Linked DNA regions of Notamacropus eugenii. The protein of the gene in region 1 interacts with the protein of each later gene in a pairwise test. Links are inferred from orthologs where the notes say so. Each region holds a gene or a part of one and is shown in the gene's direction. Other genes may lie near its edges.

Region 1 (7,497 bases):
GCATGGTCTTGTCTAGTCTGGTGGTCTGCTATAGAGTGGGCTAGTTAAGTTTGTAGTTATGCATTTATCAATCTGTTTAACTCAGCCCAGTTGCAGAAATGAATTTGTCAGGGGAGTCCTAGGGATAGGACTAATAATAACTTACATTTACAAAGTGTTTTGAGCCTTGCCAAATGATAATTTACATATGTCATTTGATTTGAACCTCATAGCAACCCAGAGAGGAAGGTAGTATTCCCATATTATAGCTGAGGAAACTGATGAGGTTCTGTATAGTCACTCAATAGCTAATGAGGAGATCCATGTTAAATCACTTGATTCTAGGGTTTGGTAGTTCCTGATTTTGCTGTTTAGTAGAGGAATGTCTGCTGACTTCTTTTAATTTGGCTTTACAAGAAGTCTGCGATTTTTTCCCCTCTCTCTTCAGAAGAAATTGATGAAATCCTAATAAAATAGCCTGCAACCCCAATATCTTAACTTCCTTATAGGCCCCACTGGACAGCAGGCCCACTGCACCTACCTAGCCACTCACACCCCCAACCCCTTTCAATATCCTAACTTTTTCTCACTGCTCACTGGAACCACAGGTGTTTCCATGGACTCATATTTCTCATGGAACATTAGGCCTGTCCATGTGATGAGATCCCAGCCATTGCCTCTAGCTAGCTACTATCCCCAGACCCATTCCTCATATTTCCCACAGAAATGGCAGGTATGCCCATGCACTCAACCACAACCACATCCATCTAGCCTCTGATAGGACCACAATACTCAGCCAATCAGAAAGCAGCACCACTAGGATGCCCAAGCGAGATGTGGACCCTCAAACAATAGAAAGGATTTTCCCTAAGTAGGCACCTGCTCAGTAATGGCAAAAACTACCCTTTAGGTGAACTTTATGACATAGCCTTATTATAATATCATTATCATACATACATACCCCCCAAAAAGTTTTGTCTGTCTGCATTTTGGGTAATTGCATACACAGTTCCACTGTAGCTGGGTCCCCTCCCCATTACCTAATCCCTTAACAAACTCCTCCTGCCTTTTTAACGTTCATAGTTTCTGCTATTTAATTGCATTTTTGCCCTATAGAAATCTATCTCTCTTTTTCTGAAGTTGCTGGTTCCTCTTGGAACTTAGCTGACTTCATGAGAGGAGTCAATCTCAATAAATGTCTATACTTGGATTACAGGTGGTCTTCATGAGGGCTGGAAAGATACAGGAACCCCAAAGCTGAAGTTCCCTGGGTGTAGGTAGTCTGGAAAATTCACAGACTCAAGCATTCTTGAGGTCAAGGTGGTAAAGGTGGTAAAGATTTATTATACTTTTCAGTGGGCAAGAGTTCTTAGGGAACCTGCGACCTTAGAGAGACACAGTTAAAGTTTATATAGGATAGTCTATAGTAAAACATGTGCTAGATATGCTAACTAGGTGATTCTGGGTGAGATTAGGGAGTGGTTAAAGAGTAGTTAGTTCTTAAAGGAACTTAAAGACACTTTTAGTGTCTACTTCGCTATTTTACCCAGAGTTCAGTAGGAAATAGCCCAAAGGGGGTGCTACATGGAGGTATGGTTTTAGGACTGAAATGCCTTTAAGTCAACTAAAAGTCGGGGCTGACTGAGAAATACCTAGGCTGTTACCATCAATGTCTTGTTAGACAAGATAAAGGAGGGGAGTATACTTATGTCTAAGTCGAGGATGTATATGATTGGTCAGTGAGGAGTAAACATTGTTTTGACCCAGTACGCAGCTGGTTCAAACGAATAAATTTTATAGGGGCAGCTGGCTGCTGTATCAGGAAGAGAGATCTAGGGCAGGCTGTCCTTGGGCTGGGGAGAAACTGCCTGAGATAGTGTTTTGAGGCTAGTGAGAAATGTGATTTTTAGAGAGAAATGGGATTTTAGAATTGGGGTCCAAGCACAGGCACCCAAGCACCCCATCAGTCTGACACTGAATTCTTTGAGATGGTTCCACCATAATACATCATGAAACTGTAATAAAATCATAGTTGGCCTACCCCTTGCTAGTCTTGGGTTGGTTTTCATTTCTTCTTCAGAAACAGGAGAATTTTTGACAAGTCCACTTATTTTAGTACTGTCTTTGATGTAGGGAAAAGGCTGTGAAGAGACCTACCTTTAGAAGTCCTAATAACCCTGTCAGCTTGGTTAGGTCCTACTACCTCCTACTACCACCTACTACTTACCTCACAACACCATTGTGAAGAAAGCATTTTGTAAATCACAAAGTGCCATACAAATGTGAGGTAATATCATTGTTTCATAATTTACTTTGTGCTAAAAGTTGATTTTTCTGAATACCACTGCATTTAAATATTGCTTTAAAACACTGAATACTTTTCATATTTCCATAGGGCAAGACCTTAGATGGCATATAGTCCAAAGTCTTCATAGTTGGGGAAACAGAGGCCTATAGAGGGATTAGAGTCCTGATTCAAATCCATGTTCTTTTTCTAAAATCAGTGCTCTATTAACTCACAATCAACAAATATTATTAGATGCCTACTAGCTCTGCGTCCCCAGTACTAGGGTTATCAAAGACAAAAAAAGACACAGCTCCTACCTTCAAGGAGTTTTACAAAGGAAAAGTTTTACAAAGGAAAAAAAATTAATTTAAGAAAGCTACTGATGAGCCTGGGGTTAAGTCCTGCCTAGAACACATATTGTGATCTTCACTAGGCAAGTTACAACTTCTCAGTGCCCTCAGCTTCCCTAACAAATTGCAGAACAGTTGGGGCTCTCCATCTGCGCAGGGAATTTCCTCACCAGGAGCTCTGTGAAATCATGGATTTGGACAAAACATTTGATAAACTAGAGAGGATCCAGAGGAGGAAGACAAGGACGGTGAGGGGGTCTGAACCGATCATGCCTTATACAGATTCAGGCTCCAAATAAGGGAAATTTCCTACTCATTAGTTTTTCTAAAATGAAAGAAGTTGCCTCAACCTAGGCAGCAGCTGGTAGCCTTACCAAAAGGTTTTCAAGAACTGATGGAAGCTGAGTGCAGATTGAAGATATTTTTGCTTTCTATTTCTTATTGTTGTTGGGGTTTTTTTTTGTGTTTTCTTTCACAGCATGACTTACATGGAAATGTGCTTTACATGACTACACATGTATAACCTATGTCAAATTGCTTGCCTTCTCAGTGAGGGGGATGAGAGAGAGGGAGATGATTGGGAACTCAAAATCTGAAAAAAGAATGCTAAAATTGTTTTTACGTGTAATTGGGAAAAATAAAATATTAAATTTTTTTAAAAAAGGTCTTCGTTGATGTTTTTTAAAGATTCTCTTGACCTAGGTGGACCCTGTGGTGCTGCCTATCAACTCAAAATTCTGTGAAATTCCTCCCAACCATCCAGTGGGGTAGGCTGCTGCTTCTCTTTATGTCCTGTCTTTCATCATTACAATTTAAGCTCTTTGAGGGTAAGTTTCCTCTTCTTTCCTTTTATCTGTGTCCCCAGCACTTAGCCCAGAGCTTTGCTCACATAGTAAGAACTTATAGAACTCTTATGTTGTTTATGAGACTGAGCAAATCACTTATCCTTTGGGACACCCAATTTTCTCATTAGTAAAATGCAAATAATATATTATCTAACTACACAACAGTTGATGGGAGGCTCAAATGGATTAATTTCATGTAATGTGCTTTGCAAATTTCAAAGCTTTACTATGTAAGTATATTAATATACAATATACAAATATACTATACATTTACATAACATATAAATACAAAAAAACTTGAAATAATACTTATCTATTACATGCATTTATACATCAAATATAGATTATATACATATATGTTATAAACGGAAATTATATGGTCTATATGAACACAAAGTATGTCTATATATCATATGATTATAAATTATACAAATGTTGGTAATTTTTAAGAGTATACATTTTGCAAAAGAGGAAAACGAGGTTCAGAGGCTGAAGACCAGAAGGTGCTAGGGAGCAGGGGCAGTTGGTCGTTTGTGTCTGTCCGTCCGTCTGTCTTTGTATCCTTCTTACAGAGAAGGCGCTTGATACGATGCTCTTTGAGTCGAACGGAATTTAGCCTGGAAGGTGAGCTGTCCAAAGTTACAAAGTTACAGTTGAAGTAAGTGGCAGGCACAGGGCGCACGCGAGCAGACGCACGTGACCGAATTCGTCACGGAATAAGAGAAAATGACATCATTCTTTGCGGGGGGGAAAAAAAAAGAGCGGGCGGGGGAGGAGGGGGAGGAGAGGATGGAGTCCTCCCACAATGCAACACTCCGGGCCTCCTTTTTCCGGCCCACAAAACGCAAAGCCTGGAACCGAGACTTCCGGTCGGTGAATAGTACTACAGCCCGGGCCTTCTCTCTGCCTGATCTAGGGCCCGTCGTCATCCGCGCCTGCGCCGCAGGTCTTTAGGCCGAGGCCCGCGAGAACCGCGAGGGGGCGGAGCCGGGCACTGCCTCCGCGCCATCGCCATGGCAGAGGGGAAGAGGTGGGACGACCGGCGAGGTGCGCAGGCGTGGGCGCAGGCGCAGCAGGCGGCGGAGCGGAGTCGGGGGCTCGGCAGCTTGTTAAGGTGAGTGGCGACTGCAGCGCTGGCGGCCGCCGAGCGGCTGAGGGCAGGGAGGCCGCGACGCCCTTCCTCCTCCGCCCCGGGTGTCGGAGCTGTGCGCCTCGGCTGCTCTGCCCCGCGCGGCCGGCTCCCCGAGGCGAGCGGGCGGCCGGCAGGAGGGAGGCCCCGGCCCAGGCTCCGGCTCCTCCGGTGGAAGGCAGTGGAGAAGCCGCGGCCTCTGCAGGAGGGCGAGGGTCCGGGCTCCGGGAGCGGAGGGGCCCGAGGATTGAGCAAGGGCTCATTTTCTCCCGTTTCCCCAGAGTCCATGAATCTCTCTCCTAGGCCCCCCGCCAACCCCCTTCTTTTACAGCGGAGGAGCCTAAGACCCGGAGAAGCTAAGGGACTTGTCCAGGGTCTCTCCCCTCTCCCCCCCCCCCACCGTCCGCATTCGAACCTGGGGCCTCGGATCCCCCAGTCCAAAGGTTTCGCCACCGCACCCAGTCCTCTCCTGTGAGGTAGGTAGGGCCAGAACTGCTCGTAGCGTTAGTGGAGGAAACTGAGGCACAGGGAGAGGAAGGGACTTGTCCAAGGTCATTATTAAATATTAGACCCCTGCCACTTAAACCTAAGTCTAAGGGCTCTTTTCCGTCTTAGGCTCTAATTCACGTTTAAAAAAAAAAAAAGCCTTTCCAGAGATTCTGGTTTTAATAGTTTGCACTGGGCTTAGCGATCGATCCCTCACACTCCTGCTGTGCTTTGAAAGCAAAGCCCCATCCAGGTGTTATCTCATTGGGTGCTCATAGCACCCCTGTGAGGTAGGAGGGCATGACAGCCCCACGGGGCACGTGAGAACACAGAGACTCAGAGACATGAAGTGGGTTACCAGGGGTCACTTAGCCGGTAAGTGGCAGAGCCAGACCCCCAAAAGCTGTGTTAGCTCCCAGTCCAGCGCCATTTCTAACACAGCTGCCGTACTGCCCCAACCAATAACAGTCTGCTGGTCATTTAGTGGAGCTGTGGGAGGGTAGGATTGATTGATGGCTGAGTAGGCAGAAATCAAGAAAGGTCTAAGTGGGATGGAAGTCTTCTTATAGTCAACAGGTTTTGCTGTCTTTTGACTGGCTGAGGGACAGGCATAGAAGAGATATTGATTTGTTTCCAAAAGAAACAAAGGAATTATTTACTCTTTTTATTTGTAAAGGTAGTCAGGGTTAAGTGACTTTGATTTGAACTCAGATCCTCCTGACTCCAGGGCTAGCGCTCTAGTCACTCTACCACCTAGCTGCTCAACTTAGCAAGCCTTCATTGGGCTCCAACTATGGCCCCATCGTAGGATCTTAGAGATCATTGGTTCTGTTCCCCTCATTTTACAGAGAGAACATTGAAGCCAAGGGAGAGTGATGGCACTTGCTGAAGGCCACACTGCTAGTAAGTTTCAGAGCCAGGATAATACGTGTCCAGTGATTATAAATCCACTACTCCTTCTACTACTATGTCATGTCGTGGAAATAAAAAGAAAAAAAAATTCCCTCTCTCAAGGTACTGACAGTTTCAGGAAGGACAAAAGTTAAATTGTAACGATAACAATGTATAATTTGAAGGGGTTATATGGGACAGCGAGGACCACCCAAGGCTTGGCTGGGTAATAATGTTCATGCTCAGTGTCCTGAACGTTTTAGAGAGTAATTGAAAGAGGAGTTCTGACCCTGCTTCAAAAGTTGTATCCCAGAGTAATAATGGATAAAGTTATATTCTCATGGAGTTGTAATAGAACTTTAAGGTTGAAGAGACTCCTAGACGTCCTGGAGTATCATAGATTTAGAACCTTTAGAGATCTAGTCCAACCCTCTCATTTTTTAAATGGTGAAATTGAGGCCACTTGGGCAATAAGCTCCTGGGCATCAGAATTTGAATTCAGGTCTTCTGACTCCAAATATAGTTCTTGACTCCATCCCAAAACCAGGTGACCCTGGTAGCTCTCCAGCCTCCTGCCTTTTTGTAGTCTGTGCATAGAGCTTGTAGGAGCTAGAACACTGGAGGTTGAGTGCTGACTTGGCCTCTTCCAGCTGTCTGAATGTGGGAAAGTAAACTCCATTTTCCTCACTAGGAAAGTGGAGGGTAATAATCCTTGAGCTAATTCCCTTTGAAGTCTTTTCCTGGGTATTAGGAGACCTGAACCTGTGGTCCAGGTTCTGCCCTCATTGTGTGACTTTGAGCCACATTTTGATTTCTTCATTTGGCTAAATTGAATCTCTAAAAACCCTTCCTTCTCTAGGATTCCAAGAACAACAGTTTATCTGATAAATTTTATCTTCACCTTAAATTTCATGTTCGTGGGTTGAAGGCTTTAAGAGAAACAAAAAGGTTCACAGGCTCTAAAGAACTTTTTGGTTAATTTAGTGCTTGTTTCTGGTAGAATTGTCTACACTAAGCTCTCCTGTTTGACTGATTGCAACTGTTTTAGATGCTTTCTGCGAACTGCTGAAGCCTTTTAAAAATTGCTAGCAAATATTTTAAAAAGCACCCACTTGGTATGTTGCAGAACATGGACTTAGTGCTGAGGAAGAGTGAAAGTTTAGATAACCATAAAAGAGTAAATAGAAATAATACCACACATACAGTGGGCATGTTACATACAAGTAACATATACTTGATGACTTTCCTTGAAAATACTCTGGCCCCCAGCCCCATTGTTTTAACTAGCAGTGCCCAGAAAGTTGCATTTTGGCTTTCACAGGGGGAGGCAAGCCTCGAGAAATGGAAAAGGGCCTTGGTCTATAAGTGAGGAGAATGTGGCTCAGATTAATTCCTCTCTTTGGGTCTCAAGTTTCCTTATCTGTAAAATAAAGGAAGTTGGACTGGATGACCTCTCTAAGGTCCCTTTCCAGCTCCATAAACTGCCTTTCTAGGAACTAACATTAATTCTTCTTGTTAAAAACAACTTCT
Region 2 (5,776 bases), on another chromosome or scaffold:
ATTGGCAAATAACAGATCACTATATTAGATTAAATTATAATATGCAGGGCTAGAACCAAGATCAACTGTGTTCCCAGCCAGCGTTGCAGCTCTTTGACCCATGACTAAGTGGTTAATTTTGGCATCTCTTCTTCCAAAGCTATACAATGAAAAGAACACCTACTTCTATTATCACTGGACAGCATGAAATGGTAAAAACTTGAAGGATAATTTGACAGTGAGCTACAACATGGTTATGAATTTAGTAACACTGAATTCAAACTTAAGTACATATATCTATAGCTTACATTTAATTGAAAAGATAACGTTACTAGAGAGTATTTAAAAATAAGCAGGCACTAATAGTCTTTGTTTTTTCCAGTCTTTTATTTGTATCCTTTTTAAAATTTTATTTGGTCTGAACTTGTGATTTCAGCTATTTAGAGATGACCTATTGTGGTCAAAAACACTTCATTAACTCCAGCTAACAACTACTCTGTTACTTGCAGGCATAATAAATGTCATTGGACAATGAGAGCTTAAGTGATTTGTCCACAGTCACCTAGCTTATAAGTGTCAAAGACAAAACTTGGACTCAGATCTCTTTCACTCCAAAACTTTCCCTCTATGCATCATGCTATGTAATCTCTTATTTTAAAAAAGTTATTTAAATTTTTATTTTACATGTTGTTTATTAAAAGAAAAAATTGCCAGTAATTTTTGGTCTGCAATTCAGCCTTCTAAATTAAATTGCATAGTAAGATAAGTTAAAGTTATTATGGAGTAAAATATTTTTTCTATAATCTCAGAAAATAAGAAACAAGCTTTTGTAAGAAATTAGGCTGGAGGAGACTAATATTTAATTAATTTTTAATTCAGGGACAGTCACACTCTTAAGCAAACAAGTCAATTTTAATGAAAATTTTGTAGCTTTAGTTCCAAATGCATTCTGCTCCCCGCTGTGTAGAGAAGCAAAGAGTTACTGAGATGAGCTGTGACTTATCCAAGGACTCCAGACAATGAGCAGCAGAGGGAATATTAGAAATACTGTCCTGACTTTCAGTGTTCTTTCAGCTGTAATAGACTGCCTGCCATTGTAACTTGTGAACTGTCTATTTTTTATGGAACAATTTTGCACTATTTTTTATGACTGGTTAGCATTTGACTCTTATTTGTACCTATATTAGCCACAACTATAAGGGAGCGTCTATCTGTGTTTGTATGTTTGTGTGTGTGTGTGTGTGTGTGTGTGTGTGTTAATGCTGAAAGCATATCTCTATTTTTGAATCTCTTTAATCAGCATTCTCAAAGTAAATTTTGTGGTCAATGTATTATTTTTGATTGATATAACTAGCCCCAAAGGATGTGTATAGTGATGATCCATATTTATATAATATATTCAGGTTGCAAAACATTTTGCATGCATTATTTCACTAGATCTTCACCAAATCCTCTAAAATATATGCTATATTTCTATTGTTTGCTTTTATCTGATAGGGTAAGTAATGGATTTGTGATTCCATTAGACTAGATAACCCCCATTGAGAAATCTCTTCCTGTCAAGGCAAATAAGTACCAGTTTGGAAGCATAGCCTTGGGAAGTTGTCTAGCACCCCAAGAAGTTCCATAACTTGCCAAATTGAGTCAAAAGGATGATTTGACAGCAGGTATTCCTGACTCTGTGGTCATCAATTTTCTATTTTACCATACTGATGAACGAGAAGAAAAAAGAGAGGAGGAGGAGAAAAAGAAGAAGAAAAAGGATGTTGATGATAGATACTTCAAATTTTCAAAGCACCTTGCTTATACTATCTCAGCTGATCCTCACAACAACCATCTGCAGAATTTTCCATATTTGACAGATGAGGAAGCTGAGGTTGAGAGAGTTTAAGTCACTTGTCCAGAGTCAAACAGGTAGTAACTGTGTGCGACAGAATAAAAACTCAGACAAGAAACAGGATTGGAACTTGAACTGAATCAAAGCAGAGGGCTCTGTCCACTGTACCAACTAGCTGCCAATGACTCTAAGTTGCTCGTATCATTTTACAAAAGAGGATATTGAGTCTCAGAGGGATTAACTTTTTTTCCAATGTAGAATGCAAACCCAAATGTGTCTTCCCTAAGTCCAGTGTTCTTTCTGCCACTTCCAGGTGTCTCTCTACACACAAATTAAACTATTAACCCATTGATAAAAATGAATACTTTTGAATATAAAATTATTCCACAGCTGTTATTTTGAGGCACGAAGGAACCAGTGGGAATTCTGATTTCACTTAATCTAGATAGAAACTTAGAAAGACTTTGTTTCCTTTTGCAACCCATTTCTTGCTGTTCTTTATGAACTAAGGGACCATACTGTCCATGGGATCTGCTGCTTTTATTGCTAAAGATTACTGGAATACTTTGCCATTTCCTTCCCTAGTGCATTAAACCAAACAGAAATTAAGTAACTTGCCCAGGATCATACAACTAGTAAATGTCTGAGGTTGAGTTTGGACCCAGGTCTTCCTGACCCCAGACTCATTGTTCTGTCCAGTGAGTCACCTAGCTATCTTTCACAACCCATGGCAAGCCTTAAAACAGGATTCTGCTTCCTCACCTCTTGGTGATTTAACTCTTTGCCTTTATTGTTGTTGCTACTTCTCAATCTTTTCCCCAAATTCACTGAATTGATGATCAAGCATAAAGACACTTTGAATCTTTTTTTTTTGTGGGTCACTTAGGTCCTACAAGAAAAATAGGAAACAGTTTTTATTGCCATGCTATACTCCAGGATACAAGGAGAGAATGAGTAAATACGGTAAGCCAAAAGGGATCTCAGTTTGTAGACAAATGGGCTGAGAGGAAATAAAAATTTAGGACTCAAAGATCAGGCTTCAAAGGAGCTCTAGGTTGGTTGCTGACTGTCAGGCTGCCAAGACCCGGTGTGGTTATTTAAGCTTACCTGTAAGTCGGTTGCTATGAATCGTGCCGATTTGTGGGAGCTGTCCAATGTACTTCATGTACTATAGTGACAATTCACTTTGTTGCTGATGGTGCCTAAAGTGAGGCTTTCTAAGAAAATCCTCACTCTTTTCACTTTAAAAAAAAAAATTCCATCTCTCTGTTTTTTATATCTTTTACAGATATTTGCTTATTTGAAACCTCAAAATTCACATTCCTTTTTTTTACTTCACTTTTATTCTTATTCACAGGCATTTGTTAAATGTTAAACTGTTAAATATCCAAAAATAAAAAGCTTTTGAAAGGGGGAAAACAAAACGGCACCGCTGTTGCAAATACTGGCTATATTGTCCAATCTTTTTATTTCCTTAGGAGATCAAGCTTAATATCTCTCCCCTTCACTCTGAAAATAAGAAGTGGTATCCTGGGATGTAGGTCTCATAAACATTTCAGATGTTGCCTTCCCTAAATACAGTTAATTAAAAGCTTGCCTCAACCTCAAGTCCTACTGTCTGAAGAGCACCGATCGATGATGAGGAATCAATCAGCTGAGGAGTTGTGGGTGTGTTTTCTTTTTTCCCTTTGTTCATAAACTTACAATTATTGATGGGCAAATCGACCTTCTGCTCAGCGAGGGGAGAGGGAAGAGGATGTTCTAATCGACTGGCTCTTTGGTCGAAGGGCAAATAACCTTGGGGAAGGAGAATGAAGAAACCCTGGACGCTGCTCTGGAGCCATGCTCCGATTTTCCCTAGACAAGGAGGAGCGGATTTCATTTCAGTGCCAGTGCGTTAGCAGCGTCACTGAGGAACCCAAGCGCTGAGGGGGTACGACCAACTTCTGGCCTATGTTTCTTGTTTCTCCCAGATGTCTACTGCTCTCCCTAAGCCTGAAGAAGGAGGAGACGGGGGAGAGGGGGGGAGGGGAAGAAATATCTCTTCTTTCATTGCGAGGATAGCAACTAAACTTGCTTTCGGGGAGGGGGGATTGAAGGTTTCACTGCAGAAGAACGGACTGAGAGAGCTGTTTGCGGGAGGTGTCAGCCAGAGAAAGACGGCTCCAACAGCGACTCTGGGGAATGTGAGCTGAGCTCCCCCAGTATGCTTACTTAGCCGAGTGGAGGTCTTGCCATTCAGCTCTCCCAGCTCTGGGAGACAGGGTCAACATTCCCCGGTGACCTCTGACGGTCAGGTCCCCTCTTCAGGACCTCATTGAAAGCATCCAGACACTTGTCTCGCATCACTTGGCAGCCTGGGGGTGGTCACGGAAGAGCCAGGACTCTAGCTAGAGAATACTTTACCCCTTCCCTCACTTGGCAAAAGCCAGCACCCAGCTCCTAAGTCAGCAGTTCCAGAAACAGGAGCAGGAGAGACAGGTCCATCCTGAGGCTGGGGGACCAGAGTGGAAAAAGGAACATAGGAGCAACAACCAGGGGAATTCTGGGGTGCCCGACCAAAGAGGAACTATTCTGCTTGGCGCAGTGAAACAGTCCCAAATCCTGTGCTAGACTATGCATCCCTCCAGCTGGCTTCAGGCTTGTCTGCTCCCATCAGCTTTAGGAGCAGGGATATTTGCCAAGAGTCCTCGGTGCAACTAATCCTGTTGTCTGCTCTGGGATCAATCTCCATGGCCGCTTACTCCAAGGCGAGGCTGGGATTGGGTCTGGGGCAGTAGCAGGCACTCCGGGCATCCACCTTCGCATCTCCTCGGAGCCATCGATCAGGCGTCCCAGTCCGCGGTCAGTCCGCCCAGAAGCACCCTTACGGGGAGGACTCCATGAGACGGCACCGCCACAGGGTCCACTGCCCCCGATGGAGCGCCAGGACTCTTTCGTGGACACCACGGTACTGGACTTCGTGGCTGATCTCTCCCTGGTGTCCCCTAGAGGCCCTCTTCTCTATGACCTTGCCCCCGGGGGCTCTCTGGGGGAGCAGGCCCTGGCCCTCGGAGAGGGCATGGCCCGGGGATTTCAGCCCTTCGAGGAAGAGGACGAGGGGGAAGAGGAGGACGAAGAAGAAGAGGAGGAAAGGGAGGGAGATGGCGAGGGAGATGGAGGCAAGGAAGCGGAGCCCCTACAAGGTGCCTCGCTACTTCTGGGCCGCCCCAAGAGGAAGAGGGTAATAACTCTGGCCCAGCGACAGGCGGCCAACATCCGGGAGAGGAAGAGGATGCTGAACCTCAATGAAGCCTTCGACCAGCTGAGGAAGAAGGTGCCCACCTTCGCCTATGAGAAGCGACTATCCCGAATTGAAACCTTGCGCCTGGCCATCGTATATATCTCCTTCATGACGGAGCTGCTGGCCAGCTGCGAGAAACAGGAGGCGAACCAGGGAGCCCGGCCTTAGTGAGAGAGAGCTCCAGGACAGCAGAGTGCTGCTGGCTTAGAGCTGAGGGGGGACAGCTCTGAGGCTCAGAGTGGGTCCTCGCAGAACGAACATACGACTTCTGGGCCACTAATGCACTCACCTGGGAAACAGTTCTGGAAAACCTGTCCCCTACACCCTAAAGCCTAGCTTGTCCTGAAATTGTAGACTGTAGATTTAATATATGCAAATCTCTCTAACTGGTGTCGGGAGGAGAGAGTCACTTCTCCCTAACCTTGGCGCGGGGCTGCTTCAGGAGAGCGTTGGGATACTCCTTTGCACTGTCTTCTGGACAGGGAGTCTGCTGGGTGGGATGGACTTGGGGTCCGATTTCCTCCTTTCCTTCTGAAGTGTCTTTTCTCTGACTTTTGCGCAACTAAATAATAAATACTCCCACTTGCTCCTCTTGAAGCCTGACCAGTTTATGGAATGTGGCAGCTGGCAGTGGAGACGAGGGAGGGCATGGACCTTCCTAGACGGGAAAGACAAAA
Region 3 (7,391 bases), on another chromosome or scaffold:
TGGTTCACTCTTTGTATAGTACTTGGGTTCCCAGTGCCTAGCATGGTACCAGGGACACAGTCAGTGCTAAATGAACACTTGTTGATTGACTCATGGTCACTTCATTCAAGAAGTCAGGGTTTCATTGATTTGATAAGTCAAAACATGTTTGGTCTACTCAAATGATATGCTTTTTAAAATCAAGATATAATTATCAAAATAGCTAAGCATAAGAAGCCACTAACTAAAATATCTAAATAATATTTAAAGGGCTACACTATTTAGAGTAGGAAATGAAAAAAATAAAACTGAACCTTTGTTTAGCACTTAGGGCTCATGAAATCTTTGAATGTTGCAGCCTCAGTGACTGCTTCTTCCTCTGAATTCCTTTATTCTTTGTTTAACTCATCAGACACTTGGCATATGCTATTTTGTATGTACGTATATGTATATATAATATATATGTATGTGTGTATACACAAAATATTTAAATTGTTGTAAATTTCCTGCCTTCTCTTTATCAACTGTGAAAATAGCTAAGCAACTCCCCTGCTTGTTGAAAATTTATAATTCTGTTATTTGGAATTTTTTTCATTTCTTCAGTTAAACATTTAGATAAAGGAAAAAGACATAAGAAATATGAGGCAAATTCCAAACTTTCTAAGCACAGACTCAGTTCTATGTTGCTATCTCCCAGTTCTTTTGCAGTATTAAACAAAGAATACTTATCACCCCATTCATTCTCAGGTTTAAAAGCAAACACTTAACTAATTAAAAAAAATTAAACTGATAATTGGTACTTGCTTTCTATCTTGTCTCAACTCAGCTTGGCCACTGCCTTGCCATGTGACTTTGGGAAAGCCATATAAATTCTCTGGGGCTTAGTTTCTATATTTGCAAAATAAGGAGGTCAGACTTAATGGTAGTTACTAGGTTTCCTTCACTGGAGGTCTTCAGACAAAGCCTGAATGACCACTTGTCTGCTATGGTGTATGGAGGATTCCTTTTCAAGTATAGGTTGGACTAGGTGACTGAATTTCTACCTTGAAATTCTATGATTTTCTTCTCCCTGCCCATATGTGAGAAACTAAAACTGGAAGTGATCTCCTGCTTTAGAATTGTATCACATCTTAAAGCTCATGCCTTGCTGTGAAATTTCCAATCAAGTGTAGTTCCAGCTTAGAGGAATACTATAAATAGTTTTCTCATTTTTAGCAAAGCACCTCAAAAAATCTCTCGTGTAGTTTTTGTAGGCAGAATAGAGAGATATGGACCAGATCAGGGGTGGGGAACCTGAGGTCTCGAGGCCAAAGGTCTCTAGGTTCTCAAGGGTGGCTCTCTGACTGAATCCAAACATTACAGATTAATCCCCTTAATCAAAGGATTTCCTCTGTAAAACTTGGACCCTGTCAAAAGGCCGCACCCAACGACCTAGAATGCTAATGTAGCCGCAGGTTCCCTACCCCTGGACTAGACAATACTACATTTCAGTAGAATTGGTACACAGTAAATGCTTAATAAATTTTCATTCATTCCTTTATTCATTCAATCAACTTAGAAGAAAGTCTCTGCAGTATATTCCAGAAATCTGTGCTTGGTGCTGTGCTGTTTAATGTTTAGTAATGACTTGGTTAAAGACACAAATAGCATACTTATCAAACTTGCAGTTTGAGGATGGGAAGAGTAAAAAAAGATCTTGACAAGATTGATCATTGGGCTATATCTAATGAGATGAAATTTAAGAGGAAGTTAAGTCTTTAAGAAACAAAACACTGACTTGAAAGTTCAGAGAACTCATCAAAGGAGAGGGACTGAATTCAGGGAGAGCAGTTAGGAGTAAGAAGTGATAAAGACTTGGTCTGGGGTGGTTGTTAATAGAAAAGAAGATATGCAAGAGGAGATGGAGTAAACAAGACTGGGTAACTGGTTAGAAGGGAGAGAGAGTAGGGAGATGCGGATGACTGCATTGTAGTTATTGCAAACCTCGGCTACTAGAAAAAATGGTGGTATCCTCCATGGAAACAAAACCGTCATGAGGACGGTTAGATTTCAGGAGAGAGGCAACAAGTTCTATTTTCAGTATTTTAAGTTTGAGATGTGTTTAGGACATCCAGGTGGAGATGCCCAACAGGTGGTGGGAAATGAAAGACTAGAATTTAGGAAAGAGGTGAGGGCTAGATTGGAGAGTGACCTGCATAGAGATGATGGTTCAGAAAATGATGAGACACAACAGAAAGAACAGAGATGGCCCAGGACAGATTTCTTGGGTGTAGGTTACCTTGTTCAAGGACCTTTTGATTAGTAATATTGTTGTTTAGTTGTGTCTGACTCTTGATGATCCTACGCATAGCACACCAATACTAACGATGGGGTTTTCTTGGCAAAGATACTGGAGTGGTTGGCCATTTCCTTCTTCAGTGCACTAAGGCAAACAGAAGTTCAGTGACTTGCCCAGGGTCACACACCTAGTACGTGTCTGACACTGATTCATACTCAGGTCTTCCTGAGTCCTTTATCTACTGGTCCAGGTATCATACATGGAGAAAAATGCCTGTCACAGGTGTTCATCAGGGTCATGGAAGAGATTCAGCTCAGAGTCCAACTCAAAGAGAATTTTCCCACAGACTCTGAATTTCCTTAAGTCTTCCTGCTCGCATAGGGTACTGAGCGGGTTACAGGAAACCCCAGAACACTGCAGACTTGGGGGAGGCCTGGAATCATCCAAAGGAGTTTGACTTCACTATCCACGCAGGAAAACCCGCTGGGAGAGTCACGACACACAGTCAGACAACCTCTGTGGACATGAGAGGTGTCATTACACCCCACAGCCTTGGAGACTCTGAAGGAAAGGAGGAGAACAAGAACCGTTTGGGGTAACGTATCACCAGCATCATAGCTCAAGGGTATGCCTCCTCAAGGGGCGGAGAGGGAGGGCATTTGGAACTCAAAATTTTTGAAAAATGAGTGTTAAAGTTTTTAAAAATGCAATTGGGAAATATGTAATTAAATAAAATACGGAAAAGGAATGCTTCGAAGAACATGACTTATATAGAATTTAGCAAAAAAAAAAAGGAGTTTATTAGGTACCTACTGGGTGCCAAGCACAATCCAACTTTGGGGAAAAGCTCGGCGCTCCTGGCACGGTGTGACTTTGCCCGGAGCGCCCGAGGCCCCTCAGGTGCGGGGCGTCCGCTCTAAGCCGTCTACACCGCAGGACCCGGCTCGCTGCACGTGGGAGCCCGAGTGGCGCCGCGGCCCAGCTCCCGCTCCGCTTGACGGCTGCGCACGGGCACGTGGTGGCCCGGCGGGAGGAGTGTGACGTTCAGCAGGGGGGCGCCGGCAGAAGACGGAAGAGCGGCGCCGGCCCATCCCCCCGGCTCCCCCACCCCCGCGGCCCTCCTCCAGGCCCCGCGCGCCCTCCCCGCGTCTTGCTCGCGCCGGCGCGCGCACCTCCCAGGTCCCGGCTTTTGCCTCCCACCGGGCTGGAGGGGGCGGGGGGAGGGGGAGGTTTTTGGAGAGCTAGAGGTGCCTACGTGAGCGAGGAAGTGACGCAATACCGGGCTAGCCTATAAGGACGGGGGGCGCTCGCGGCCCCGAGGCTCCAGGTTCCGTGGGCTCCGGCGGAGTGCTGGGTACCGTTTATTAGAGCGGCGGCGGCGGAGGACGACCCGAAGTGAGTGACGCGAAACAAAGGGCTCCCCATGGCAGGGCTCCCCCTCCCAGGGCCTCCCTATCGCAGGGCCCCCCCCAGGGCCTCCCCATGGCAGGGCCTCCCCTCCGGCTCTCCGTTCTGCGGGGATGAGCGAAGCCGGCGTCCCGTCCTCCTCCCTCCCGGCGTTTTTCCCGGGTCTGGTCCGGGGATGCCGCGCGGGGCTTTCCCGCAGAGATCGGAGAACGGGATAGGAGAACGGGACCGGACTTTCCCCCAGCCCCGCTCCCCACCCCGTGCGCCCATCTTCCCGCCCTGGGAGGGGCTGGAGCGCGCGCCTGGCGGAGCGCACTGCAGGTGCATGGGGGCGCCCCCAAAGCGCCCGCGCGATCCTCGATAGTTGGGAGAGCGCCCCCTCCCCTCCTGTGCGCCCCCGGGTGCCGGCTCCCCCGCAGCCCCGGCGATCAGCCTCCGCTGCACGCCCCCCTCGGACCCGTGCGCTCCCTGCCTGCTTCCCCCACGCCCGGGCCCCGCGTCTTCACCGCCCGAAACCCGAAGCCGGGCGCTGGAAAGCGCCTGAGGCTCGGTGGTCCTGGGCGCGGGAGGAGGGAGGCCCCCCGCTGTGCCCGCGCCTGCTGGAGCACGTGGCCCGCTTCAGGAAGTGGCCTCGGGGAACGAGTGTCAGGTTCTGCGAAGTGACCTTGAGCCCGGAACCTTGCACTTCCCGGGGTTGGGGGGCCCCCATTCCCCCTGGGGGGCGGCGGGGCGGCCGCGTGTAGTCCAGCCTGGGGGACTGCGGCTTGGGCCGCCTTGTGTCTGCGTACAGGGACCGAGACATCTAGCCCGCGCATGGTGCTGTTCTTTAACTTGACTTTTTGGTCCGGTATCTCAGATTGTTTCATAGTTTAGGACCCTTGGCATCAGGCTGAATATTGGAAGTCTCTTTAAAAAAGAGCAACCAACAAGTTAGTTTGATAGTAGAGTTTAATTTACTTAAATTATAGAATTAAATTATAGAATTAAAGCTAAATAATTAATTTAATCTACTCGTCCATTCCCTGAGATGGGGCCCAGGTTGTGAAGGGAACTGGGGGGATCGATGGGTGAGGGCCCAGGTTATGAGATGAAGTGATAAAAGGGTCATGAGCAATTTCTTGGGGAGACCTCTGGAGTCTTACTTGGATTAGAATTCATCTTTCATGTCTGGTTGGGGAAAAGTGTTTATTTTTAGCATTAATATATTAATTTATAATGTTTAATATACTTCAAGGATCGTTCTGTTAATATCGTATGGAGAATGATGGGCCTAGGTACAGGTTTTGGGGGAGATCTTAGCCGGTACCTTGGAGTATAGGTGGGGGGAGGTGCTTTTTCCACCACTACACACAACTTGTATTTCTCCTATTCAGGATTTAGCCGGTTCACCCAAATTTGCTGTTAGCCACTTGTAAAATGGCAACCCTTTTATTTACTACTGAAATTTTAAGTTTTTTTGAGTAGTTTGGATTATATGAATCTAAAGGACATCTCAAGTACAACATTTCTTTTCCTTATGATATATCAGAATTTACGATCCTGATATTGCAATTTCAGTCAGCTTGCAAAGTAAACATGCACTAATGGCTGAAAATCTGTACCTTGTACCTTATAAGTTTTTTTATAGAGGTGAAGAGAACTTAAAAAAAAAAAAAAGCTTTGCTTTGACCCAGCATAGTTGCTTCTACCTATGGCCTCAGGGAAAGTTGGAAGAGAAAGCTGTGCTGTCCCGAGTCCTCACACACCTGATACCTTTCATTCTGGCTTTGCAGATAGGTCTGGAATACAAGTTGCAAATTCAGTGATCTCTTGTAAGCTCAGAAATTTGACCTCATTGACCATGAAATAAAGCTGACATCCAATTTTCCTCATATTGCTTCTTCCAAATTAAGAATGGTGTTTTCTGTAGTAGTATGCCACAGAACTTCTCTTCCTCCCTCCCCCCAGGTACCTGTGTAATAGAAACAGTGGTGCTTCTTACCTTGGAATATGGAGCATGTGACAATAAGACTTTTCATTACCCTGGCAAAACTAGTCTTGGATAGGTAGTTCTTGCTCCATAGGAGCAAAGCCAGAGTCAACGACTGGGTTTGGGAAAGTTCATTTTTACATAAATTGTTTACCCCAAGTAGGAGTTATTTGCTACTAGATGCAAATATATATATGCAAAACAAGGGTTGTTTCATTTTTTGTTTGTATCTGCTCAGCATGTAACACAATGCCTGATTAGGGAATCATTACATTATATTGCTTGTTAATCGGTAGTCTGGAATGGAGTGTTGTTATATGGTAGTCTTTTTTCATCATTTTTAATAATGACACCCAAATTATAAATAATAGAAACTAGTTGATACTAGGTATAGGAGCCCCACCCAAGATCTCCAACATATTTCCAAGCTGGTTTCTTAGTCTGGTTTGCTAGGTTGTGACCTTCCAGTGGTAATACAAGTAGTAGACTTGGCTGACCTTCCCTTTTATGAAAGCATTTGGCAGAGTTTCTCATATTGCCCTTGTGGACAAGATGGAAGCTAGACTGTAGTACAGTGGAGTGGATTTGGGTCAGTTGAATGACTGGACTTAAAAGGTTTGATGGCTAATACTAATTTGGAAGAAGGCTATGCCAAATGCTCCTTACTGTCCTAGACTCCAAGTTACTGAATTTTTAAAATTAGGAACTTTTAATAATTACTTTAGTAGAGGCATAGCCTTTAAGATATGCTTATCAAAGTTTTCAAACAGCCTGTTATGTTGGATGACCAAAAGATCTGCAGACAGTTGAAAAACTTTAGTAATACATTGTGACTGGCAAAAGAAAAAAAATTGCTAGGACTTTGAATCTGCAGTAAGAAATTTAATATTTGGAAGTCCTGTATTTTGTCCTGATCAAACCAAATCTGGAATATTATATTTATTTCTGGGTGTTTAATTTTAGGAAGGTCTAGAGTGATTCCAGAAGAGGAGGATAACCAAGATGGTAGGAAGAATAAAGACCATGTCATAAGGAACTAGGAATGTATAGCCTGGAGAAGTAAAAGGAATGGGGGGGAGGGTAGAGTATGTGAGAATATGATAATTATGAAAAGGAATGCTGTGGGATACAAGATGGCTCAGATTTAAGAACTATATAAATGTGAGTTACTAATCCTGAACCAAGTACTTTGTTTTTTTGTCCCTAGAGAACAGAACTGTAGGAATAATGTGGTGATTTCAGTCAGTTTCCTAATAGAAATGACCTGAATTAGCTGTCTTGGGAAGTGGAAAGTTGCTCTCACTAAAGATCTTCACACACTGATTTGGATTTCTGTGGTAGATGAGGTGATTTTTGAGCTACTGTTCCATTTTTGAGTTTCTGTGATGGTGGCATAAACCATATGATTCTTTTCAGAGTCTTTTACTGTGTGACATTTGACTAGGTTTATCAGTTAAAAGTGTTAACTTCTGTGCTGCAGAGCAACTTTCTCTGAAGCAAATGGCTACGTAATTAAAGGTGTGGTGACTTTTGGTAGTTCTGGCACTGGAGATTTGGTCTAGTGTAGGGGCTATGATAAGTCACTTCCCAGAATAGTAAGAGAATATACTTCTAGGAATTACATTTCTTGCTTGAACTCTGGTTTTTCCATTTCCCGCCTTAGGTTCTTTGGAAAATGACCTTGATTCCCTTTTTAGTCTATAGGCTCTTAGGCATTGTGGACACTGTCTGTAATTCACTTTATAGCCAAGTGAGATA
Region 4 (7,562 bases), on another chromosome or scaffold:
TAATTCCTCTTATAGACTCCTCAAACAGGAAAAAAAAAAAGACAAGTCAGCAAACACTTATATAATAATAGCTCAGATTTCTGTAGTGCCTTAAGATTTACAAAGGCCTTAAGGCTGACACCACTTGCAAGTAATACTGCTTCCATTTCACAGAGAAGGCAGCTGAAGCTCAAGGAAGTTGAGACACAGTTAGTAATTGACAAAAACCAAGTTCAACAAGTAGTAAAGCCAGAATTCAAACCCAGGTCTGCTGATTTGTTATTTCAGTGTTCTGTCAACTGTAGACCATATTGCCTCTCTCTTTTTCAGGAGACCAACCAACCCTTTCAGGCCTGGGTTCTACAAGCCATAACAATAAGGGCTTCTAATGAATTTAGCAAATTGTTCAGTGTATGGAAAACTGAGAGATGGGTCAGGTTTTGAATTAAATATTCTGAGGATAGAAAATTGTGGGGATGAACTTTATGATTTTTGTCCTGTCTGATTTCTGTCACGGAAGGGATGGGGAGGGAAGGGGTGGCCATATGAAGGACCCACATTAGAGCAGCAGTACCACCTGCTGGATACAGTACTGGCCTTGAATTCACACAAACCAGAGTTCAAATTCTGGATCTAAAACATATTGGCTTTGTTACTCCAGACACATCACTTAACCTCTCAATGACCTAGCCAATTCTCGAGACTAGAAGTTACAGAAAAATTGCTGCTTTGCACGGTGAAGGGTACTGGTGGGTTTTCTCTTTAAGTTTTATTGGTGTCTTTTGTTTCAATACCACAGTCTTATATTTCTTCCTACCCCCGCACCAAGCTATTGTGTCAAAGAAAAACATTTAAGCCAAATTGACAATGACCTTCTGTGACAGTGCATGCTGCCTTCCTCACTGCTGGTCTTCCTTCTCCATCTCCTTTCCTCCCACCACCTCGAAGGAAAGAATAGAGGTTTGCTCATTGTGATGGGAGTTCCCACACTGGCAGTTTCCCTATAGTGATTACAGCATCATTGATTTGGGGTTGGAAGGAACCTCAGAGGCTACCCAGTCCAATCCCTTCGTTTTGCAGATGAGGAACCAAGGCCCTGGATTCAGGAGCCAGAAATGTTAGGCCCTGTTCTTTCAGGGGTCAGGTGCCACTGCTTGAAAAAGGCTGCAGAGGAAATTGAGCTGAGACAGACGTATTCCTTGCCAAGTTCCTATGCAGATTTCCCAGGAACTCAGCCGAGCCTATGAAAGAGCTTGAGAGAGCAGCCTATCCCATTGGGAAACCATCAAGGCAAAAAAAAAAAAAAAAAATTGCCCTAGCTGGGTGACACGCAGTCCTTCAGAGGGAGACTAGGTGTTCTGAATTTAAATTTTTGAGCCAATGGAATCATTTTCATGATAATGAGGCCTTGAAAAAGAGAAAAGTCCTGACTCCATTTTATGCAGCAAGCATTTTTTATGTATCTGCTATCTGCCAGGTCCTTTGCTGGGTCTACAAAGTCAAAAATGAAATAATTCCTGCCCTCAAGGAACTTATATCATACTAGGAGGGGGTGAATGATATGCATATAGATAACTAAATACAAAATATGCGTAAAATAAATACAAAGTCATTTGGGCTGGCAGACGCCTCTAAAAATGGGGATGGGGGTGGGGAATGATTTGGAAAGGAGGCATTTGAGTTCAGCTTTGAAGGGATTTAGGGATTTCAAGAGGCACAGGTGAGAAGGGATGGTACTCCAAGCATGAACAAAGACGTGAAGGTGGGAAAACGAATGTAGTATATGGAGAACAGCATGAAAACTAATTTGGCTGGAATGGAGAACAAGAAAGGGGAACAATGTGAAACACAGGTAGGTGGTGCTGTGGATAGAGCACCTGCCCTAGAGTCTGGAGGATCTGAGTTCAAATCCAACCTTAGACATTTGACCTTAATTATGTGACCCTGGGCAAGTCACTTACTCCCAACTGTCTCACCTGAAAAGAAAATTATTCTGGAAAGATAGATCAGAGCCAGATTGTAATGGGCTTGAAATGTGAAATAGAAAAGTAGTTTGTATTTTACCTTGAAGGCAACTAAGAATACTAAGTTTTTTGAGCAGGGTAATGACATAATTAGATGTGACTTAAGAATATACAATACCTGGGGATTTAAATCTCCAATTATAGCTATATTTTTACCTATTTTTTCTTATAGTTTAGAAAAATATTGTCTTCTAGTGTATACATGCACACGCACATAGTTGCTATGTTGTCTGGCACATATGACTACAGAAATATTTGTTTCCAATCAACTAAAACTTTAAAAAAAATCCATCTTTTTCTTCCTCTTGCTCCATCATCTTGCTGTTGAATGCTACGCTGTCAAAGGTAGAAGAGAACTTAGAGACCATGTAGTGTAATCCTCATTTTGTAGATGAGAAAACTGAGGCACAGAGAGAGGAAGTGACTAGCTGGTCACAAAGGCAAAACTTGAACGTTCCAGGCCAGTGTACTTCCTATCTTCCCATCCCTCCTCCCACCCCAATCTCCTTTGTGATTTTATCTTTTTTAGAGAAGGGATCCACAGGGACTGAAACTATGAGGGAGAGGGAAATGCCAAAGAGAAAACCAAAGTTATGAACCTGGTATGGTGGATCAGTGGTGTTGCTATGTACAGAAACAATGAAATCAAAAGGATGAGCAAGCTTATTTTGAAACGTTTCAGGGCTAGTAGGAGAGGTTGAGATGCGTAGGCAATTAGAGAGGGGGTGGTCTGAAATTCAGAAGTGAAGTAAGAACTGGAGATATAAATTAGGGGGTCACCTGCAGAGAGGTGGTAATTTAAGCAATTGGGAATAAATGAAATTGACAAGGGACAGAGTATAGAGAGATGAGAAGTCACAAAAGTCACCAGTGGGAAGATGGGTAGGCTGATTTACTGCTGGTGTGTTTGTGAAATGGTGCAATCATTCTAAAAATCAATTTCATGCAAGAAAAGATACTGAATTGTTCAGACCCTTTGACCCAGAGATCCCACTATTGGGACTGTATCCTAAGGTGGTTTTTGACAGCAGGAAGGGGACCCATAGGTCCAAAAAAAATGTTCATAGCAGAACTGTTTATGATAACGAAAGCAGGAAACAAAATATAAGTCTAAAGACTGAGGAATGGCTGGACAAATTGGGATATATGAATGTAAGGGCATATTGTTGTGCCCTAAGGAATGAGGAACTTAGCCAAACCTGGGGAAACTTACAAGAACTGATGGGGAGGGAAGGAACTGAGCAAAAAGAACAGTCTCCACTATGATCTCAACCATATAAACAAAGTCAAAGGGACCAGGCAACAAAACCCTGGTCTATTACACCAGTCAATGTTAGTACTATAAGGTCAAAGTTAAAGGACACAGTCCTCCTTTTTGTAAACACAGGATGCTTTAACTTAGAGGAAATGTACTTTGTGTTTGTTTACCAGCTTGAGAAGGTTCAGTTGTATCAAAACCAAAATGAATCCATACATTTTAACAAAAAGAAGGGAGAGACAAGGCCTGAGCCTAATGGAGCATTGATTGACATGTATAGTTGATTAGTAAGATGAGAGAACCAGTCAACTGAGAAAGAATGAGCAATGAGAGAGGTGCACATAAGTCTAGAAGAACTTGGCTGTCATTGAAAATGAGGAAGGAAGGGCCTACTTAGCAGGAGACTGTGGTTGAAAGTGTCAAAAGAGGGATCAAGGGGGATAAGGTATGAAAAAAGGGCCATCAGGTTGGGTTAAGTGGTCGTTTGAAGGAGCAGTTTCAGGAAGGTGATGGGGTCGCCAAGGGGTGGCAGCGAGAGTAGCTTGTGAGGAAGATATTGGGCATAGATGGCCTTTTGGAGAAGCATAGCAGTAAGGGGAAGATAGAGATGAGATGGTGGTGGGATGGGCTAGAAGGGTCCAGAGGTTTGGATTGGAGAGATTTGGGAATATTTGTAGGTAGATGGGAAGAAGCCTCTCTGGCCCTCCGCTTTCTCATCTGTAAAACAAAGGGGCTGGAACAGATGACAACTAGGAGTCTGCCAGAGTGAAAGTTGCAGAGAGGCAGATTTATGTTTAATTGCAGGGAAAACTTTCTAGCAATGAAAGCTGTCCCCAAGCTTAATGGGCTGTCGCTTGGGGAGGCAGAGGGTGACACCAGAATTGGGGCGCTGGCAAACACTTCTTGGGCTGCCTTCAGGGTACCCTGTTACTGGTCTGCTCTCTTCCCCTCCTCCACCCCACTCTGGGCTCCCAGGGGGCTGGGGCGTGGTTGGAAGGCGCCCCAGGGTGAAACAGACAAAGGCTGCCCCGCCCCTTCCCTCCCTTCTCCCTGCCCCCAGCCCCACCCGCGGGCTCTCTGCCGCAGTAAAGTCACACTGCTGAATCAGGCCCTGGCCACTGCCTTCTCCTCCAATCACGGCCGGCCCGGCCCCGGCCCCAGCTCCAGCCCACCCGTTGCGGCTCCTGCCCAGCCTCTGAGGAGCCTTCTCTTTGCAGTATTTCTCTCATCCCCGCCCATCTCCAATCAGTGCCGTCCTCACCCCTCCCCTCTCCTGTCCCGCTCCGCCTCGCGCCAGCCACCCACTCTCTAGGCCCGCCCCGCGCCTGCCGCGCTCCGGCCGCGCGCTGCGTGTGCGTCTGCCCTGTGCGTGCGCGTGCGCGTGGGCGCGCAGAGGGCTGGCTCTGCTCTTCGGGAATCTCGTCTGCTCCGGCCGCCTGCGCCTCCCCCTCCTCTCTGGGAGTCGGCTCTCTCCTCTCTCCCGTGTCCTAGCGCGCCTCCTGGTCCTCTCGGGCCCCCCCCCTCCTCCATCTGCCCCTCGCCACTTGCTCTCCAGCCATGTTCTGCGGGGCTTCAGCGCGCTTCCTAGTCCTAGCTTTCACCTCGGCCTTCCTGCTGAACGGAGGAGGTAAGGCTGGCCTGCGGCCTTCTGGGGTGGGGGGGAAGGGGGACCTAGAGAAAGAGGTGTCCCCTTCCCCCAGCCGCCGGGCCTGCGTGACGTCGGCTTGGCAGGTGCTAGCCGGGCTTGGCCCGAGGGGGGAGGGGCGGGTTCGGGCCGCTGCCTTGGGCTCAGCTCAGCTTCCCCTCCAGATCGTGGGCACTTCTGGCAGCCCGACCCGAGACCCTACCAGAGGGCGAGACTCAATTCGGACTTGGTTAGCCAGCAAGGAGGGAGGGAACGAGTTAGCTAGCCTGGCAAGTTGTCGGGCAGCCACCTTTGGGGCATCGCACCTGGGGGTTTTCGAGGGAGGGGTCGGGAGGAGGATCTGCCTTAGCCCAACTCTTGTACTTTGGCCTAAGTGAACGAGTGAGTGGGTGGGATGCCTGTGACTTTTATTTGTCTCCTCAAAGTTTGCCATGCTTTGCCACACTGCCCTGCTAACAGGGGTTTTGGGGGTAGCCACGTTGGAAACCCTTGCTTTGAGCATCCAGGTGTTTTCCCAGCTGCAGAGGAATGGCCTGCGCACTGTATGCGAAAGTCAATGCTTTTGCTGCTGAGCAGCTCGGGACACCTGTTTCAGCAGATTTGTGTCATTGTTTAGCCGATGGGAGGAGAATGCACCAGACTGAACTGTGCTCTTTTTCTGGAGCTAAAGCATTGTCCTTTCTGTTTATGGTGCCACACATGTGGAAGTTCAGTCGTTGCGCTCATAATGGCAGCAGGATGAAAGCTGTTTGAAGAATGGAGGAATCCCGGGGAACCCAACGGCTTTTTTTCCTGCCAAATCGACCCTTTCACGTTTTAAATGCATACAGCCTATTGAAGAAGGGGCTGAGGACTGTAATTACCAAATTCCAGACTGGTTTTCATAACCATAGGGCTTAAACCATTAGGGTTGGGAGCTAGAGAAGCGGGCACAGGGCGTTTTAAACTAGAAGTTCATAGGTTTAGAGATGCAAATGACCATTTAGTTCAGTCGTCTCATTTTAAGGAGGCCCAGAGAAGTGAAGTCATTTACACAAGGTCACATTGGTAATAAGTGGCATAGTAGAGGATTCAGATTTGGGTTCCCTGACTCCATATTAAGGCTTGTTGTGCCTTTGCAGGAAAAATAGGACTGATCATTTTTGCCTTTTTACTCAATTGGAAAGCATTTTTCCTGATTGGAGACCATACTACTAAAGTAGTCTGCCAAAGTGGCCTTAGGTAGAGAAAAGATTGACTCGTATGTATGTACAGATAGGCAGAGACTATTCAGTTTTGGGCTTTCTTGTCAGACTTTGCCAAGTTCCTCTGGGCCCAGTGAGGTCACAGATATTAGAAGCTAAAGAATTCCTATTGGTTGTTTTTGAACTTGAACTCTCTAAACTGCTCTATTGAAATAAAAATGCAGCTTAATAAATGCTTGCTGGATCAAATGATCTTAAAGGTTTTGTCCAGCTGTAAGGATCTTTGATCAGATTTGTGAACTTTATTTGTAATTGACTTGGCAAAGACCTCAGTTTACCACAAAAATTATCCAGAAGCCTGTGTTGTTGTGCCTCAGAGTAATTTCATGTTTAGGCCTAATTTTCAGAAGTTGAGATGAGAATTCCAATAGGACTCAATTCTCAAGTGATTACTGAAGCCAGTCACAAAGAGAATAACCATACGATTTAAAATCCTGTCAGGGCCTCAGCATGTGGAAACTCGGTTTCAGGTTCTTCAGACTTCAAAGCGAAGGAGAAACCATTCCTTTTTTGGACTATAATTATGGATGGTAATTATCAATTCATTGTGTTATTAGTTTTGGAAGTCCTTTGAGGACAAATTACCAAGCTCTAGTGGAGGCCTTGAGCGCATTTAGGGTTAGGATTTACCAGGGACAGGTTCTGGTTAGGGATTTTGGGAGCTGAAGTTCAGATGTAGGATGTATCCCTGCTTACTTTATTTATTGCATATTTTGAAAGAATGAAGTGTTTCTCATGAAGGAGATATCTAGAAATCTGTGGATTTACATACTTTTTTTAAGGACTAAAATTTTAACTCCTTTGGGTAGACATTTCTAAAATATATGATATACTCTGCTTTCTTAAATAGAGTGTACATATTTCAATACTTTAAAAGATACAGGATTTTATTAATGCATGTTATACCCCTTTCATGCTTTAGTCTTTTATACGAAACTAGCTCTACATTTCATACTGCTTGCTTTTTAAAAAAGTGTGTAATCATTTGAAATATTGCTTTCAAAACTCCTGCTTGTTGGTGCTTCCTTCAGAACTTTCTTCTGTCCTTTTCTGTTCATTAAAAAAAAAAATCCCCATTTAAATGATTATTAAAAAAATTCCCATTGGTAATACTCCACCCCCCTCCTCCCACCAATTAAAAACTTATAGAAGAAAAAAAAAACCCTCCTAAGAATTAAGCGTAAACAAACCATGTCCCAAAATCTATGTCTCTGCACCTTGGGTCTTTCATTTTTCTGTCAGTAGGTGGGTAATGTGCTTCACCATCAGTCCTCTGGAGATATGAATTGTCGTTGATCAGAGTTCTTCAACTTTTCAAAGTTTTTATTTTAATACTACTCTGTTCTATATATGGGTTTTCCTACCTCTGTGCCTTAGTCCAGAGGTGTCAGACATTCCAGCCTGATTAAAAT

Evidence for each region.
Region 2: the proteins of SGTA (region 1) and FERD3L interact in binary tests that used the Homo sapiens proteins (3 or more experiments, as listed by UniProt). The two-hybrid records come from large-scale screens. The link is inferred for Notamacropus eugenii from reciprocal best matches to the Homo sapiens genes SGTA and FERD3L.
Region 3: the proteins of SGTA (region 1) and TFRC interact in binary tests that used the Homo sapiens proteins (3 or more experiments, as listed by UniProt). The two-hybrid records come from large-scale screens. The link is inferred for Notamacropus eugenii from reciprocal best matches to the Homo sapiens genes SGTA and TFRC.
Region 4: the proteins of SGTA (region 1) and CD99L2 interact in binary tests that used the Homo sapiens proteins (3 or more experiments, as listed by UniProt). The two-hybrid records come from large-scale screens. The link is inferred for Notamacropus eugenii from reciprocal best matches to the Homo sapiens genes SGTA and CD99L2.

What each region holds. Positions count from the first base shown.
Region 1 is NC_092875.1:62,997,558-63,005,054, forward strand, and holds the start of SGTA (small glutamine-rich tetratricopeptide repeat-containing protein alpha), read left to right. Parts: upstream 1-4,490; 5' UTR 4,491-4,575; intron 4,576-4,945; exon of another isoform or gene 4,946-5,066; intron 5,067-5,376; exon of another isoform or gene 5,377-5,451; intron 5,452-7,497. Other genes in the region: THOP1 (thimet oligopeptidase), read right to left, coding at 2,021-2,048. UniProt on the Homo sapiens protein: Co-chaperone that binds misfolded and hydrophobic patches-containing client proteins in the cytosol. Mediates their targeting to the endoplasmic reticulum but also regulates their sorting to the proteasome when targeting fails.
Region 2 is NC_092874.1:11,736,831-11,742,606, reverse strand, and holds FERD3L (fer3-like protein), read left to right. Parts: upstream 1-4,733; coding exon 4,734-5,267; downstream 5,268-5,776. UniProt on the Homo sapiens protein: Transcription factor that binds to the E-box and functions as inhibitor of transcription. DNA binding requires dimerization with an E protein. Inhibits transcription activation by ASCL1/MASH1 by sequestering E proteins.
Region 3 is NC_092876.1:336,315,871-336,323,261, forward strand, and holds the start of TFRC (transferrin receptor protein 1), read left to right. Parts: upstream 1-4,376; 5' UTR 4,377-4,477; coding exon 4,478-4,480; intron 4,481-7,391. UniProt on the Homo sapiens protein: Cellular uptake of iron occurs via receptor-mediated endocytosis of ligand-occupied transferrin receptor into specialized endosomes. Endosomal acidification leads to iron release.
Region 4 is NC_092879.1:70,371,431-70,378,992, reverse strand, and holds the start of CD99L2 (CD99 antigen-like protein 2), read left to right. Parts: upstream 1-4,556; 5' UTR 4,557-4,818; coding exon 4,819-4,888; intron 4,889-7,562. UniProt on the Homo sapiens protein: Plays a role in a late step of leukocyte extravasation helping cells to overcome the endothelial basement membrane. Acts at the same site as, but independently of, PECAM1.